Sus scrofa: one gene and its partner. The protein of the gene in region 1 purifies or fractionates together with the protein of each later gene. This does not show direct contact. Links are inferred from orthologs where the notes say so. Each region holds a gene or a part of one and is shown on either strand. Other genes may lie near its edges.

Region 1 (8,230 bases):
GTCCTCACCTGTTAGGTATGAGTCCCTCAGACTCACTCAAGATCACACACTTAAGTGGTTGAGCCAGGACTTGAATCAAAGATTTGGATCCAACCTGAATTATCACAGAGCCTTGCTCTTAACCGTCACGCTGTACAATCCCTGTATGTGGTGAGATCCCTGAAGAATTGTGCAGGATAGGTCAGGATCCTGGCTTTGAACAGGAGGGAAGGAAGAGTGTATGCTGTGGCTGGTTGGCAGGAGAGGAGGACAATTACTTCTGCTGACCCCAGTCTTGGTGAAGGTGGTGAGGTCAGACATGGAGATTAATGGTTAAATTAGGTGTTTTGGGGGTTTTTGTTTATTTTGGTTGTGCCATTGGCATGCAGAATTTCCTGGGCCATAGATCAAACTGTGCCACAGAGGTGGCCCAAGTTGGTACAGTGATAGCACTGGATCCTTAACCTACTAGGCTACCAGGGAACTCCTATATTAGATGTTTTTTGTGTGAAGAAAGTTTTTTTTTTTTGGTCTTTTTTTTTTTTTTTTAAGGGTCGCAACCCTGGCATATGGAGGTTCCCATGCTAGGAGTCTAATAGGAGCTGTAGCCACTGGCCTTTGCCATAGCGGCGCCAGATCTGAGCCTTGTCTGCGACCTACGCCACAGCTCACGGCAACGCTGGATCTTTAACCCACTGATCGAGGCCAGGGATCAAACCTGAAACCTCATGGTTCCCAGTCCGATTCATTTCCACTGAGCCACGATGGGAATTCCCCCAAGAAATGTATTTTGAATAGTGAAATCTGTAATCCTATTGGTGGCTGTCAGGTGATAATATTATCTGTTTTTGAGGCTTCTGCTGACATCTGGCCTTATAAGTGAAATTATCCCTCTGCTCCAGCCTCCCCTCATCTCTCCTCCTGTCCGAGTTTTGACTGAATATAAGAGTTTATTTCAAACATTCTTAATTGTGTCTGATTTGCATTGATCTAATTTTTTTTTAAGATTTTTATTTTTTCTATTGTAGTTGATTTACAGTGTTCTGTCAATTTCTGCTGTATAGCAAAGTGACCCAGTCATACATTATATATATGTATATGTATTATATATATATGTATATTCTTTTTCTCACATTATCCTCCGTCATGTTCCATCACAAATGACTAGATATAGTTCCCTGTGCTATACAGCAGGATCTCATGGTCTGATTTTAAACCACTTGTAAGTAGGGACTACATCCTTTAAACTCCTTATGTATTTCTACATGGTTTAGAGTTGGGCACATGGTAGGTATTCGGTTAATTCTTAGCACTGATAATTATGTCATATCGTTAATTTTCAGTTACAAACTTACTTAAGGAAGCAAGGACTTTCTTGTTTAGAGTGAATTTTCATTATAAACACAAGGGGGTGCTCTTTAACTGTGAATGCCCAGTTTAAAAAAAAAAAAAGTTTTTGAGAGTTCTCTTGTGGCTCCTGGAGTTAAGGATCCATTGTCCTCACTGCAGTGGCTTGGGTCACTGCTGTGGTGCAGGTTTGATCCCTGGCCTGGGAAATTACACATGCCATGGGTGAGGCCAAAAGAAAAGTTAAATATCTATTTTATTTTACTTTGTTTTATTTATTTTTTATCTTTTTAGGTCCACACCTATAGCTTGTGGAGGTTCCCAGGACAGGGGTCAAACCAGAGCTGCAGCTGCTGGCCTACACCACAGCCATAGCAATGCCAGATCCGAGCTGTGTCTGTGACCTACACCACAGCTCATGGCAATGCCGGATCCTTAACCCCTGAGTGAGGCCAGGGATCAACCACATCCTCATGGATACTGGTGGGGTTTGTTACCGCTGAGCCACAATGGGAACTCCGTTAAATATGTTTTAAAATCTCAGAAGGAGAGAGTATAGGAACTCTGCATTGGGCAAATTCCTATAGGAATAGTAGTAATACAATTAAATGGTAGATACTTTAGTTATCCTTCAAAATGGAAAAATCCATTTGTTTTCCCCCTAAATTTAGGTATTAAAATATATATATATATATATATATATATTTCTAGGTATCACCAGAAGACCCTGGAGCTCAGTTCCTGATCCGAACTGGGTCTGTTGGCCGAAACAGGGCTGAAGCCTCTTTGGAGCGAGCACAGAATCTCAACCCCATGGTGGATGTGAAGGTGGACACTGAGAATATAGAAAACAAACCCGAGTCATTTTTCACTCAGTTCGATGCTGTAAGTTTCATAGGGAATGTAAAATCTGCGGTGGGAATTCAGCAAATTAAAGCATTAGTGGCATATATACTAGGTACACTGGAGCATTAGAATTTCAGATCTGAGTGTTTTCCCAAGTAGATTTATAAGCTGTTCTGTTCTTTAGTTTTAGTCTGTTGCCTTACAGATGGAAGTCTTACATTGCCTTAGTGTGTATGCTTTATTAGTGTGTTGCCTTAGTATATTGAGTGTATTGGTAGGTAGATCCAGTCTGTTGAATCAGCTGTAGTTGCTTGTGAGTTGCTATCTTTTTTTTGTCTTTTGTCTTTTTAGGGCCGCACCCGCGGCATATGGAGGTTCCCAGGCTAGGGGTCTAATCGGAGCTACAGCTGCCGACCTACACCCAGCCATAGCAATGCCAGATCTGAGCCCTGTCTGCAACCTACGCCACAGCTCACGGCAGCGCTGGATCCTTAACCCACTGAGTGAGGCCAGGGATCGAACCTGAAACCCCATGGTTCCTAGTCGGATTCGTTTCCGCTGCACCACGACCAGAACTCCTGAGTTGCTATCTTTTGGTTTCTCCTTTGGGCATATTTTCCCCAAGACCAGGTTTCGTCATTGGTGTTTTGTCTTCTATCCAGAATCTTTGCATGTAGCTTCTATACATTTTATTGCAAATGTTTTCTCCTGAAAGCTTAACAAGTTGGTGATTAATTTCTTGCAGCAGAGTCATTTTTTTGTGTGTGTTAGAAATATCAAACTACAGCTTGTGTTTTGTCTTTAAAAAGAGCACACCTGATCTTGGTCTGTCTATGTCTCGCTCACGCAGCCACTTTGACCATGTTGCCATGGATAACTAGACAAAATCACTATAGTCATAAGCCAAATGAGCCATGTCCAACCTCATTTGATTTCACTGCCAAATCTTTGCAGAGGTGAAAGGAGAAGTTAAGTTCTGTTCAGTATCTGTGACCTTTCAGACGTGGTTCCCTGTACCCTGGAAAAGCTTCACAAATGTTGGATAACCATGAAGTAGTCGCACATGACCTACTTGTTTTTTTTAAATGAAAGGCCCATTACATGAAAGAGTGAAATCTGGGTTTGGTAGTTTGTTTTTCACACTGTTACATTTCATATGTGCATCTGTTCAAATGTGGGCTTGGAATGGTGATCATCTGTGCATTTGTCCCTTTTTAAAAAAATCATTCTATTTTGTAAGTTCAGGTACTGGAATATTTTCCATTTGGACCTAAGTCCTCTCTTCATGTCTTTATCCATAATAACCACATTTGGTGTACTCTAGGTGTCCCTTGAAAGCTTAGTTGGAACCAAACCAGGGGTTTGTTGGCTTGTATCACACGTGTTCACGGGGCAAGTGTGACGTCCTTGTGTTTGAGCCACATTTGACCGGTCCTTGAGGTTTTAACACTCGCTTTTGACTTCAGGGCTTCATTTGGTCAGTTGGTTGTATGTTCAACTGCCGCTGTCTTATCTCTTTGATTTTTTCCTCGGGTGCCTGCACCCTTTGAATGGCAGCAGAGGTTCATATTTCTCTGTAAGCGTTATTTCAGTATTCAGGCTACCAGACAAGAGCAAAGGGGTTTATCAAATGAAAATATCATTTTGTGATTTTCCAGCTTTCAGTGTTCAGAAGAAAACATGTGCAATTTAGAAGGTGTCTTCTTGGCCCTGATCACAAAGCTTCTCCCCAGAAGAGACCGATGTTCTGTGCCTTAAAACTTAGCTGTTTCCAATACCTCCATTTACTGGAAAACAACCTAGAGGTGTCAGAGCCACTTTGATAATTCCACTGAGTGAATCACCAGCTCATTGTCTAGGTCTGAATGGGAGGTCACTTGGTCTGTAACCTTTTCTTTTGTCCTTAAATTCAGATAAAGTTTCACATCGAAAACTGGAAAAATAATCTCAATAGGACTTGTTTATCTTCTTTATCTTAACATATCTATCAAAAGAAGGAAGGAAAAATGCCCTTGTATTTAAACATGACCTTTAGGTGAATTTCAGAAACTAGTTTTGCTTCTCCCTATAGCTTATTCCAATTTTAATAGGTTTAGTAAGTTAGAAATAATTCACTCTAAGTTATATTACTATTGTCTTTTCATGAAAACTATGAAGTGTGGTTTATATATGTTCATGAATTAGGGGAGCAAGTTCATGGAATGCCTTTCACTCTCCTGCTAAACACGTCTCGTTCTGGTTGCAGAAGGTAAAGTGACGGTCTCATAATTTACGTTTTCTGTACACTGAAACATTTCTTTTGTCTTCATAGCATCCGAAGAACCTGTTGTACCAGTTTGAAACTGCTTTTTAGACATGCCCGATGCCCAGAGAGACTGTTCATTAAGATTTATTTAGACATCAGGGGCAGTGATTCACAGTCTGCACAATTCACACCCAGCTGCTTTCTTTCTTTCTGCAGGTTTGTCTAACTTGCTGCTCCAGGGATGTCATAGTTAAAGTTGACCAGATCTGTCACAAAAACAGCATCAAATTCTTCACAGGAGATGTTTTTGGCTACCACGGATACACATTTGCCAATCTTGGAGAGCATGAATTTGTGGAGTAAGTTTGGGGAGAGGAGGAGAGAACATAGCATTTTCAAAATGTAGTTTTTTGTTTTTTTGTTTTTTTTTTTTTTGCTTTTTAGGGCTGCACCCGAGGCATATGGAGGTTCCTAGGCTAGAGGCCTGATAGGAGCTGTAGCCACTGGCTTACACCACAGCCACAGCTACGCGGGATCCGAACTGCATCTGCGACCTACACCACAGCTCACCGCAACGCTGGATCCTTAATCCACTGAGCGAGTCCAGGGATGGAACCTGCAACCTCACAGTTACTAGTCAGGTTCGTTAACCACTGAACCACAATGGGAACTCTTCAAAATGTAGTCTTATTTACTGATCAGAAATGAGCCATTTAAGCAAAGTAGATTGCTATAACATTTAGCATTTTGGAAAACCAGTTCATTACCAGCTTACTGAATACGTGGATTGTATGTTCAAATTGCAAGAGACATGGCCCTGCCTTTTCTAGAGCATGAGGAAAGCACACCACAGGGGTATGTTATCTGATCAGTCTGGCCTTGTGGTGGTAAAGCCACAGTCTGTCTAGGGGAGACGTGTTTGGATTGTAAACATTCGTTCCCCAGCTCGGGTTTGCTGTGTTCAGGGTGAGCGATAGTAAAGTGAGTATTAAATAGTTAGATGGGTGGCTCTGGAGGTATGTTGTACCACAGTCCACCTTGGGAAAGCTCCAGGGTCCAGAAACTGCTCTGGTGGAGCAAACAGATCTCCTCTCTAAACGTTGAGGTTGCAGACCGTGGTGATTCTCATGAGGGGACCTGCAGTTTTGAACTCGTAGCTTCTAGATGAAAGATGGCAGATGACACCAGCGTTGTTAAAGTACATGAGTTGTTTGGGGTTTGTAACTTTTGACCACCCACCTTGCTGATGCGAGGTGAAGAGAGGCCCTGTGAGGTAGGTGAAGCCTCCACTGAGAGTCAAGAACTGCTTTCTTGGATTCAGAGTCTCAGATAAGTCACTGAAATTTCTCTGGTCTACAAGTTTCTTGCCTCTGAAATTGAGATGGGGGAAGGCCAAACATTCAAAGTCTCTCGTAACTAATGTTTTATGGCTTTAAGAAAACCTAGTTCTTTGTGCACATTATAAATGGATAAAGAAGTCATAGTAGGAGTTCCCGTTGTGGCTCAGTGGTTGATGAACCCGACTAGTATCCATGAGGACGTGAGTTCAATCCCTGCCCTTGCTCCGTGGGTTAAGGATCCAGCGTTGCCGTGAGCTGTGGTGTAGGTCGAAGATGCAGCTTGGGTCTGGTGTGGCTGTGGCTGTGGCTTAGGTGGCAGCTACAGCTCTGATTGGACCCCAGCCTGGGAACCTCCATATGCCGAGGGTGCAGCCCTAAAAAGACAAAAGACAAAAAAGCAAGTCAGTAGGGGAAGAAGGCCAGGTGATTTTAATGTACGCTCCTTATGGCAGGGGAAGGGATTAAGTTCAGCTCTCTAGCACAGGATTCAAGTAGAATGTCTACAAAGTTTACTGAGAACTTACTATGTGCTGGGCAGTGTGCTAAGTGTGTTATTTCTCTTTCAATAATCCTGCAAGGGTTGTTACTCCCACAGAGTGGCTAAGTGCCACATCAGGTAATCAGTGGCCAGGCTGGGATGTGAACCCAGATCTATACGACCTTTTGCTCTTAAATATCATCCTGCTCAGTGAGCTGGTGATATTCTTTTTGTTCTAATGGCCTGATTAGTAGGCTAGAACTTGATCCCCTCCCCTTGTCACCCTCTAGGGAGAAAACCAAAGTTGCCAAAGTTAGTCAAGGAGTAGAAGATGGACCTGATACCAAGAGAGCCAAACTTGATTCATCTGAGACAACCATGGTCAAAAAGGTATGGGTTGGGGGTGGTCAGGGAGGGTGCTGTGTCAAGGTTCAGAAGTCCTGTGGCCTTGGAGGGGACAGGCCATAACTATTGCCAGCAAGGGAAGCATGCATGTTGTCCTGAAGGGAGGAGTCTGGACAGACAGGGCCAACACTTGCCCCATTTAAAGGGGGGCAACTGCACTTAGCACCAGCCAGCTGTAGCCTTGGGGGAGTGTGGACCTAGTGATGCCAGAGAATCAGAAATGTAGACTTGGAGGGAGGTGGTCTGCCCTCCTGCCATGCACAAGTTCCCTGGCCAGGGATCGAACCTTGCCATAGCAGTGACTTGTACCACAGAAGTGACAACACTGACTGCGTAACTGCTAGGCCACCAGGGAACTCCTGTCCCCAGCTTTTTTTTTTCTAGGGATGCTCCTGAGGCATGTGGAGGTTCCAGGCTAGTGGTAGAATCTGAGCTGTAGCCGCCAGCCTACACCACAGCCACAGCAGCTTGGGATATGAGCCTTGTCTGTGACCTGCACCTCAGCTCACGGCAATGCCAGATCCTTAACTCACTGAGTGAGCCCAGGGTTAAACCTACATCCTCATGGATACTAGTCAGATTCGTTTTTTTTTTTTTTTTTTTTTTTGTCTTTTGTCTTTTGTTGTTGTTGTTGCTATCTCTCTTGGGCCGCTTCCGCGGCATATGGAGGTTCCCAGGCTAGGGGTTGAATCGGAGCTGTAGCCACAGGCCTACGCCAGAGCCACAGCAACGCGGGATCCGAGCCGCGTCTGCAACCTACACCACAGCTCACGGCAACGCCGGATCGTTAACCCACTGAGCAAGGGCAGGGACCGAACCCGCAACCTCATGGTTCCTAGTCGGATTCGTTAACCACTGCGCCACGACAGGAACTCCCAGATTCGTTTTCTGCTGAGCCACAATAGAAACTCCCCCAAACTTTTTTTTTTTTTTTTTTTTGTCTTTTCAGGGCCGCACCCTCAGCATATGGAGGTTCCCAGGCTAGGGGTCTAATTGGAGCTGTAGCCGCTGGCCTACGCCAGAGCCACTGCAACACGGGGTCCCAGCTGCACCTATGACCTACACAACAATTCACGGCAATGCCGGACCCTTAACCCACTGAGTGAGGCCAGGGGTGGAACCCACCACCTCGTGGTTCCTAGTTGGATTTGTTTCTGCTGTGACACGACGGGAACACCGAGACTATTACTCTTAAAGAAAAATGTTTTTCTTTTCATATTGATAGACAATTTAGTAAGGTTCTAAGTAAGCTGGGAGACAGTTTAAACTTGAATTGCTTAATTGCTTTTTTAAAATAAAGGTTTTTTTCCCCCACCAAATAACCTTTTAAGAAGAAAGATCTCAGTGTTGACAAGTGTTATCAAGGGTATATTTTTCTAGAATTGGTGCCGTAATTCATTTTCTAGAAAGTGGAGTGGGAGGAGAATCAGCAGATGATGGTTTTGTGCCTTGTGTTGGGATCTGAGAGGGGAGCTTATGCGATGGGGAAAACAAGATGAAGTGGCCAGAATTGGTTTTGTTGAACTGAGAGGAAAGACATGACCAAGCCCATATTTACTCTTTGCTTTGTAGATTGAAACGTTGAGAAAG
Region 2 (8,330 bases), on another chromosome or scaffold:
TCCCAGAGAGGAAACCAACAGCCACCCAACCCCACGCACGACGGGGAGAAATGATGCAAACGCACCCCACGGAGCAGGTGCTGCAGGCTGGCAGGGCGAAACGAAGGGGAGCGGGCCACGGAGGGACACGCTCCCCAGGAGCTGGCCAAGGCCTGCTGCCTGAGGCCAACAGTGTCTGGACAAAGCGCCCAGCAAAGGAGATGAAAAGGCCACCTGCCTCAAAGCCCACGGCAGTGACATTTCGGATCACGCAATCAGGCCCCTAAAGCTGGCAGAGAGGCACCAGGGGGCAGAGTCAGAGCAGCACTGAACCTTCCACACCAGCAGTGGAAAATCAAGTAAATGCTGCAGTAAGTCCCCAAGAAGAAAATGAGTTTCAACCTAGAAACTAACATTCAGGAGTTCCTATCATGGCTCAGCGGTAACGAACCCGACCTGTATTGAGGAGGACACGGGTTTGACCCCTGGCCTCGCTCAGCGGGTTAAGGATCTGGCGTTGCCGTGAGCCGTGGTGTAGGCCAGATCTGGCATTGCCATGGCTGTGGTGTAGGCTGGTGGCTACCGCTCCAATTCAACCCCGACCCTGGGAACTACCACATGCTGTGGGCACGGCCCTGAAAAAAAAGGGAAGAAATTTGCAAATAGTCAGTGTGAAGGTTTATAAAGCAATTCACTTTTCAGACACGCAGCACTTACACACTCTCTGAACAAGATACAGGAAGATACGCTCCATCAAAACAGGGAGGAAAGATCAATCCAGAAAACACACAGGAGAGGACTAAGGATGCTTCCAGAACCTTCCAAAGTGGGGCAGGAAGGGAGGGGCCCCGGGAGGGACGACGGGACAGCAAAGACCCAGGGCGTGGGGGTGAGGCAGCAGGGCGGGCAGTACGGGGCACGGGGCACACACACAACTGCCACCAGGCCAGGAGAAACAGGCTCGGGCAGGAGCCAGAAATCAGCACAGGTCGCCGTGTGGCCCTGGGAGCAGCGCAGCTCCGCCCCAGTCACGACAGAATCAGGAGATTCCAGAGCAAAGGACTGGCGTCGAGGCCAGAATCTGTGCACAGGGGCTGCGGGTGGGCGCGGATGGCGTGGCAGGGCTCAGCCCACCTGTCCCAGGAGAACTCCACCTCCAAATCAAGAGGACGAGGAGGAGAGGCACGGACACGCGCACCCCGAAAACGCAGGAAAAAAGCTGGGCAGTGATGGCCTCTGAAGAGCAAGGTCTGAAAAGCGAGGCGAGAAAGACGAAGGCGTGGAGTTTCAGGTGCTTTTCATAACAGCGACAAGCACAAGCCCAGGCAAAGAGCATCCAAGGCAAGAACAGGAACTGAGGTCCGCTATTTCCAAAGCATCCGGAGAAACGCCACCGCCAGAAAGGACCGGCTCCCGTGGGGGCCCAAGGACACAGTCCCGCTCACACGAGAGGGACACGGAAGCGGTCCATCTCACGGGTCCCTGTGGGGGGCATGAGAGCCTCTGCTCCCGACCTCGAAGAGCAATAAAGAAAGGGCAAGAATCAAGCACTGTCTGGAAACCAAGCCAGGCCGGGTCTCCACAGACGCCGAGGAGGAGAAGGGGGACGCGAACCCCCCGCTATGATCCCAGCAGCACCAGGAAGACTTGCCAGGCAACCCGACCAGGGGCAACGGGTGCCCTACCTGCTAAAGATGGAGCGACCGCCAGCCTGCAGGAGACGGGACAGAAGAGGGAGGGCCTCCGGGGAGGGGGGGCGTGCACACACACAAGCACAAGCACACAGGCAGGCACGCACACACAAAGGGGCACACGCACATACACAGGCACACACAAGCACACACGCAGGCACACATGCACACAGGCACGCAGGCACGCACACACACAGGTGCACACGCGCACACACAAGTGCACACGCGTGCACACGCAGGCACGCGCAGGCGCTCCAGCACCACCGCACCTGGCGCTCGCAGTAGGCCTTCATCAGCTTGCTGAGCGGCGTGTGTCTCTTGATCTTGAACTGGACCACGGAGCCGTCCTGCCCGGCCACCTTCAGGTTGATGTGGTCATTCTCCGTCTTCACCCCCTCCTGCAACGACACGCGGATCTGGCCTCCGCCCGCCTCCCCACTGCCCGCCGCTCAAAGGCCAGCGTTCGGCGGCGGCTGGTCTCCCCGACATCATTGGAACCAACCCAATTCCCCCCTCGCTCCAGCAATCCCACCTCTGCCCAGAAGCCTTGATTTCCGCACAGAACTTCTAACACGTCCCACGTCTAATGTCTTCAGACTCGATTCGAGGGAGAACACCCGCCTAACGGACCCCGGAACCCACAGAGGGCAAGTCCATCTTTGCCCTGAGATCACTTAAAAAAAATCATTCATTGACTTATTTTGCCTTTTTAGGGTCGCACCCATGGCATTTGGAGGTTCCCAGGCGAGGGGTCAAATCGGAGTTGTAGCTGCCGGCCTCCACCACAGCCACAGCAACGCCAGATCCTTAAACCACTGAGCAAGGCCGGGCATCGAACCCACGTCCTCATGGATACGAGTCGGGTTCATACCACTGAGCCACAATGGGAACTCCCATTGTGTTTTTTGATGTACAAAATTTTTACAATTTTCACGAAGTCTAGTTTGTCTGTTTTTCTTCATGCTGCCTGTGCCACTGGTGTCACATCCAAGAAGCCACTGCCAGGTCCCATGTCATGGAGCTTTCCTCTGTTTTCTCCCGAGAGTTGTACTGTTTTAGGTCCTTGGTCCACCTTGAGTTAATTTTTGCATATAGTGACAAGAAAAATCCAACTTCAGTCTTTTTTTTTTTTACGGCCACATGTGCAACATATGGAGGTTCCCGGGCTAGGGGTCCAATCGGAGGTGTAGCTGCCGGCCTAACAGGACAGCCATGGCAAGGCAGGATCCAAGCTGCGTCTGTGGCCTACACCACAGCTCACAGCAATGCTACATCCTTAATCCACCGAGCGAGGCCAGGGATCGAACCCGAAACCTATGGGTACTAGCAGGGTTCCTTAGCACTGAACCACAAGGGGAATGCCTCCAACTTTATTCTCTTTGCATGTGGACATAGGATGCATTGCTTTTTTAATGAGAAGGTACTGGTGTGTTCAATGAGACGCAGGGGCCAGAGCACAAAGCAGACAGAGACAGGGCAGGGGCTGAAGGCCAGGCAGAGGAAGGCACCGAGACCACATGGCCTGTGCCCGGCCCTGGTGAATTCCCAATAAGCCAGTGAACTACTGCAAAGAAAGGGGGTGGACAAGACCCACAGTTCCGACCAGCAGGCCTCTGCCTGTGCTCTCCAGGGAGGCAGAACTGGCCTCCCAACGGATCCCAAGGTTTTCTTTTCACCAAGATGGGCTGGAGCGGGCCTCCTACCACCCCCAGGCCCAGAGGAGAGCTCGGCAGGCAGCGAGGCTGTGGTGGGCAGGGGTGGGGCACGAGGCCTTGTCTGGAAAGCAGTGAAAACAAGTTTATTCAACTGAATTGGGCTGTGGGCTGGACCACGTGGGAGAGCTAAGTTTAAACACACCGAAGGAATGAGATCTATGTGTATTTCATCGCATTTAAACTGCAGAAAGAGGCCCCCAGAAAGCATGAAGAAGGGGCGCTTGTGTTCAGCCTCCAATAAACAAAGGATCCAGGGCGCGAGCGCTAGCAAAGGCTGAGTGAGAAATGTAACTGGCCGCAAGGAAAAAGCAAAGGCAGGAGTTCCTGCTGTGGCGCAAAGGGACTGACGGGTCTCTGCAGGGGCAGGGAGGGACATGAGTTCGATACCAGGCACAGTGGGTAAAGGTTCAATGTTACCATAGCCGTAGCATAGGACACAGCTCTGCTGGGATTCAACCCATGGCACAGGAACTGCATGTGCCATGGGGCAGCCAAAATAAAAGAAAAAGAAGTAATAAAATAGAATAAAAAACAAAGCTCCAACTGCACCCGGAGAGAGGAAGCTCCTGAGGGCACCTCTTCTCACAGGCCCCACAGTGGGCTCCCGACCTGGGGCTCAACCAGGGGGTCTCTGACCAGGGGTTTGGTGACCAGGGGTTCCGTGCCCTGGACCCCAACCCCAGCTCTGCCTCCTGGGCTCCAGCCTCAGCTGCAGGGGGGGAACCTCCAGCGGGGCTGGCAGCAGAGAAAGCCTGCACGCCATCGTTCAACTCGCAGCAGATCTGCTACTTGGAAAACACTGACCCCAAGGGTCCAGAAGCCCGTCTTTAATAGGAGGGGGAGGGCTAAGGGCCAGCGCAGCAGACTCAAGGGCGCAGACCTGACAGCCTGGGGGAAGGGCGGCAGGGGGCACACAGTAAACGACGGGGGAGGTGGGCGCACGCCCAGGGGGGCGACCGTGCCTCCAGACAGGTCAGGCCTCTCAGAGCCCCTGTCCCCAGCCTGCGCCCCCTCGGGCTCTCCGCAGTGAGAGCTGAGGAGGAGGCCCTCCGAGGGGCAGTAGGGCCCAGGCAGGCCAGGACCTTCGGTCCTGGCATGAGGGGCGCAGCGGGGGGAGAGTCCGAAGAGGAAAGAGGTTCTGGGGAGGGGCGGTCCCAAAGGGGGACGAGGGGAGACCCAGGCGGGTCCCAGCCAGGAGGGTCAGGTCCAGGAGGGTCCAGGATGGTCCAGGATAGGGGTGCCACTCGCCGAGACAACGGGGCGGGGCTCTTCGGGGGCGGGGCGGGGCCGTGGGGGTGGAGCTCGTGTCTTGGGGGGGGAGGCCTGGGAGGGGCGGGGCTCGGGACGGGGCGGGCCCCGTGGGGAGGGGCCTGGGCGGAGGGAGGGGCCTGGGCGGAGGGAGGGGCCTGGGCGGAGGGAGGGGGCGCGCGGCGGGGCGCGCGGCCGGGCGGGGGAGGGGAGCCGAGCGGAGCCCGGCGGCGCGGGGGAGGGGGCCGGGGAAGCCGGGTGGCGCCGCGGACCCCGGGCCCCAGAGGCCGGCGGCGGGTCGGAGGGCGGTGCAGCACGGGGCGCAGGCGGGGGTGGGGACGGCGGCGACGGCGGCGTGGGCTGGAGGCAGAGCACGGGCCCGCGCCCTACGGCCCTTACCTTGGGCTTCTCCTCGGACATGGCTGCGCGCGGCGGGCGGCGGGGCAGCAGCAGCGCCGGGCGGGCGACTCACGCTCTCGGCCCGCCGCTCTCCCGCCGCAACTGCTCTCGGGGCCGCGCTTTGCCCCCAAATCCCTGCGCGCCGGTTGGCCGGCGCGGGTCACGTGGTGGGCGCGCGTGCACGAGGCGCGACCCCGGGGCGTCGGACGCGCGCCTGGCCTGCCGGCCGAGGTTCCTGGCGGTTGGAAATGCGTCACCGGGCGGGGCCCCGCGAAATCCGGCGTCGGGGTTGGGGGTTCCCAAGGCAGCGGGGGCTCGGGTCCGCCCGAGGGGTGGGGGGCGCGCTGGGACCCGGGAGGCGTGCAGGGCAGCTAGGGTGGGGACGGTGGGACCCAGGGGGCACACGGGGCAGCGATGGGGGCAAACTGGAACCCCGAGGTGCTCAGAGAACCGGGCCAGGAGGCCTTGCGCTTTATCATGGAGCCTGAGAACGGCCCCTGCTCTGGTCCCCATAACTGGTCCCCCTACTGCAGCAGCACCAGTCAAGCCTAAGTGCACCCACTGCTTTTCTTTTCTGGTTACGGTGTTTCTCAGAGGAAAAAAAGGAAAATAAAGCCAGCCAGGCGAGCCACTCCAGGGGACGTGAGTGAGAACAGTGTCTTGGGAGGCGCCCCCACTACTGGGGAAGGTGCAGCTTGCCTTCGCCCGGAGCCAAGTGTCGGACCTCGAAGTGGAGTGAAGGAAGGGGTGGAGGCTGACCCACCCGGCCACTCCGTCCACCAAGGAGTCAGGGCATGACTTCCTTTAGCAAACCCACTCAGGCTCCAAGGTCCGGCCACCTCCACTCTGCGATCCCAGGGGACGGAGGCATAAATGGCATTTCTGGGAGGGAGACGGGGAGGCAGAAGCCTCTCTCTGTGATGGGCTAGGCTGCTTGTTCTTCTCCCCCTGTCCAGCCCCCTTCTGAGCTTGGCCAGTGGAAGCCGAGCACCTGGGGCAGGTGGGGACCGCTTTGCTACCCTACCTGGAAGCTGTGCACCTGACCTTTACATCAGCCCATTTTACAGGTGAGGAAACTGAGTTACCTGACGTCCTAGCGTGGGTGAGCAATGCCGCTGGGATGTGAGCACAGGCAGTGGTCCGTGTGTCTGACCAGTGTGCTCTGCTGCCTCGGGACAAACCCAGGGCTCAACCCCAGCAGGACAGGCTGAAACGGGCACTCAGGCAACCTCGGGAAATGTGGTGAAGAATGGGCCCTGGTCAGGAAGCCCTCCAGGATTCTGAGGCCCTGGCTCTTCCTGCCCTCCCCGTCTCCACCCCATGCCTCAGAGGAAAGGGACCAGCAGTGGCCGACGTGGACTGACCCCTCGGGTGTGCCGGCTGTGGTCCCAAGCACGCATCAAGGCTCACAACACTCTGCAGCAGGGACCTTAGCCCCCTGTTCTTCCGGTCAGGGAATGAAGGTTGCACAGGGTCACGCACTAGGAGGTGGCAGGGTCTGGATTTGAACCCAGGTCACTAGATGGCTTCCATCTGAAGGCCCTGCTGACGGGGTTCTGCTTGCTTCCTGACGCTGTCGAAAGGCCACAGGGCCAGGTATTGATGGGCCTTAATTTCACAAACCACTTTGGACCCTTCAAAACACACTTCCTTGGGTGTTCCCATTGAAACAAACCCAACTAGCATCCATGAGGATGAGGGTTCAATCCCTGACCCCACTCAGTGGGTTAAGGAGCCGGTGTTGCTGTGAGCTATGGTGTAGGTCGCAGACATGGCTTGGATCTGGTGTTGCTGTGGCCGCGGGGTAGGCCGGCCGCTATAGCTCTGATTCAACCCCTAACCTGGGAACTTCCATCTGCTGCCGGTGGGGCCCTCAAAAATGAAAAAAAAAAAAAAAATCACATCCTTGGCTAGAGGCCCCGTTTAGGAGAAGGGAAGGCGCTTCCAAGAAACGGAGCTGCCACGTAGCAGGCTGACGAAGTCTCTCCATCGAAAGGTCCGAGCAGAGCCAACCTCCATCTCAGCCAGGACTGAGGGTCCTGGAGTCCGGACGGTGTCGCCTCTACCAGGGGGCCCTCGGGTACAACGACTGGCTCAAGCTCTGCTTCCTGGAGAGGGGGGTCTCCGGGAACTGGCCCCTTCCAGAACAGAGATGGACAGTGGGGCCCAGAACTGCCCCCGGCTGACGGGCTGTGGGGTAGCTTCGCGTAGGCGGCGTTTGGACCCATCGTTCGTCGTCGGCTCTGAGACACCATCAGCTGTAAAGCATGAAATTGGTTTATTTAGCACAGACGCGTTAAACCAAGACAGGTTTTGGACGGAAGACGTCCTGGTTTCAGACTTGCTGAAGGGTGAAAAACCTATGGCTTAGAATTGATGAAATGCAGTATCTAAAGGTGTTCCAGTAAGGATTCGAACTGTGGTTCATTCGTAGGACGAAAGCCTGCGTCCCCAGTAAAAGAAATGTGTAAAAAAAGAGTCCTTGGTGACAGGAAGAGATGCGCATATGTTGAGTCATTTTTTTTTTTCTTTTTATGGCCCCACCCGCGACACATGGAAGTACCCAGCTCAGGGGTTGAATCAGAGCTGCATCTGGGGCCCATGCCACAGCCACAGCCACACCAGATCCGAGCCGCCTCTGCGACCTATGCCGGATCCTGAACCCACTGAGCAAGGCCGGGGATGGAACCCACACACTCACAGAGGCTATACCAGTTCCTTAACCCGCTATGCCATAACGGGAACTCCTGCTGATACATTTTTTAAAAGTGAATTATAAAACTATTGCAGTTTTGAAGTTCCCTGGTGGCTCTCAGGTTAAGGATCCAGTGTTGTCACTGCTGTGGCTTGGGTCTCTGCTGTGGCGTGGGCTCCCTGGCCCGAGAACCTTTGTATGCCGTGAGCGCAGCCAAAAAAAAAAAAAGCCTATGGTTTTGAACGATCAGAAAATCTGTATGAAGTATGTTGAAGCTCTGCTTGAAGACACCAAATGGCTACCAAAACAGAAGAGACTCTCTCTGAGGGCAGAGATCCCAGAAGGAAGGGAAGTGGTTTTTCTTTCAGGGGTTTAGTGACTAGTATGGTGTGTCATCAGCTCAGTGGCTGTAACAAAATACCACAGCCCGGGCAGCTTGAGCAAATATTTATTCCCTCACAGTAGTGGAGGCTAGAAGGCCAAGATCAAGGCGGGCAGGTGGGTTTCTCCTGGGGCCTCTCTCCTCGGCTCGAAGGCGGCCACCAACTCCCCGTGTCCTCGCGGGGCCTTTCCTCTGCGTGTGCGTGGAGGGGCAGTGCCGTC

The links.
Region 2: the proteins of SAE1 (region 1) and SUMO3 purify together in Homo sapiens (affinity purification with mass spectrometry; 3 studies listed by BioGRID and IntAct, with this or other methods). This does not show direct contact. The link is inferred for Sus scrofa from reciprocal best matches to the Homo sapiens genes SAE1 and SUMO3.

Annotation. Positions count from the first base shown.
Region 1 is NC_010448.4:52,975,907-52,984,136, forward strand, and holds part of SAE1 (SUMO-activating enzyme subunit 1), read left to right. Parts: intron 1-2,037; coding exon 2,038-2,211; intron 2,212-4,633; coding exon 4,634-4,776; intron 4,777-6,525; coding exon 6,526-6,625; intron 6,626-8,230. UniProt on the Homo sapiens protein: The heterodimer acts as an E1 ligase for SUMO1, SUMO2, SUMO3, and probably SUMO4. It mediates ATP-dependent activation of SUMO proteins followed by formation of a thioester bond between a SUMO protein and a conserved active site cysteine residue on UBA2/SAE2.
Region 2 is NC_010455.5:207,479,087-207,487,416, forward strand, and holds the start of SUMO3 (small ubiquitin-related modifier 3), read right to left. Parts: upstream 5,277-8,330; 5' UTR 5,054-5,276; coding exon 5,033-5,053; intron 2,069-5,032; coding exon 1,940-2,068; intron 1-1,939. UniProt on the Homo sapiens protein: Ubiquitin-like protein which can be covalently attached to target lysines either as a monomer or as a lysine-linked polymer. Does not seem to be involved in protein degradation and may function as an antagonist of ubiquitin in the degradation process.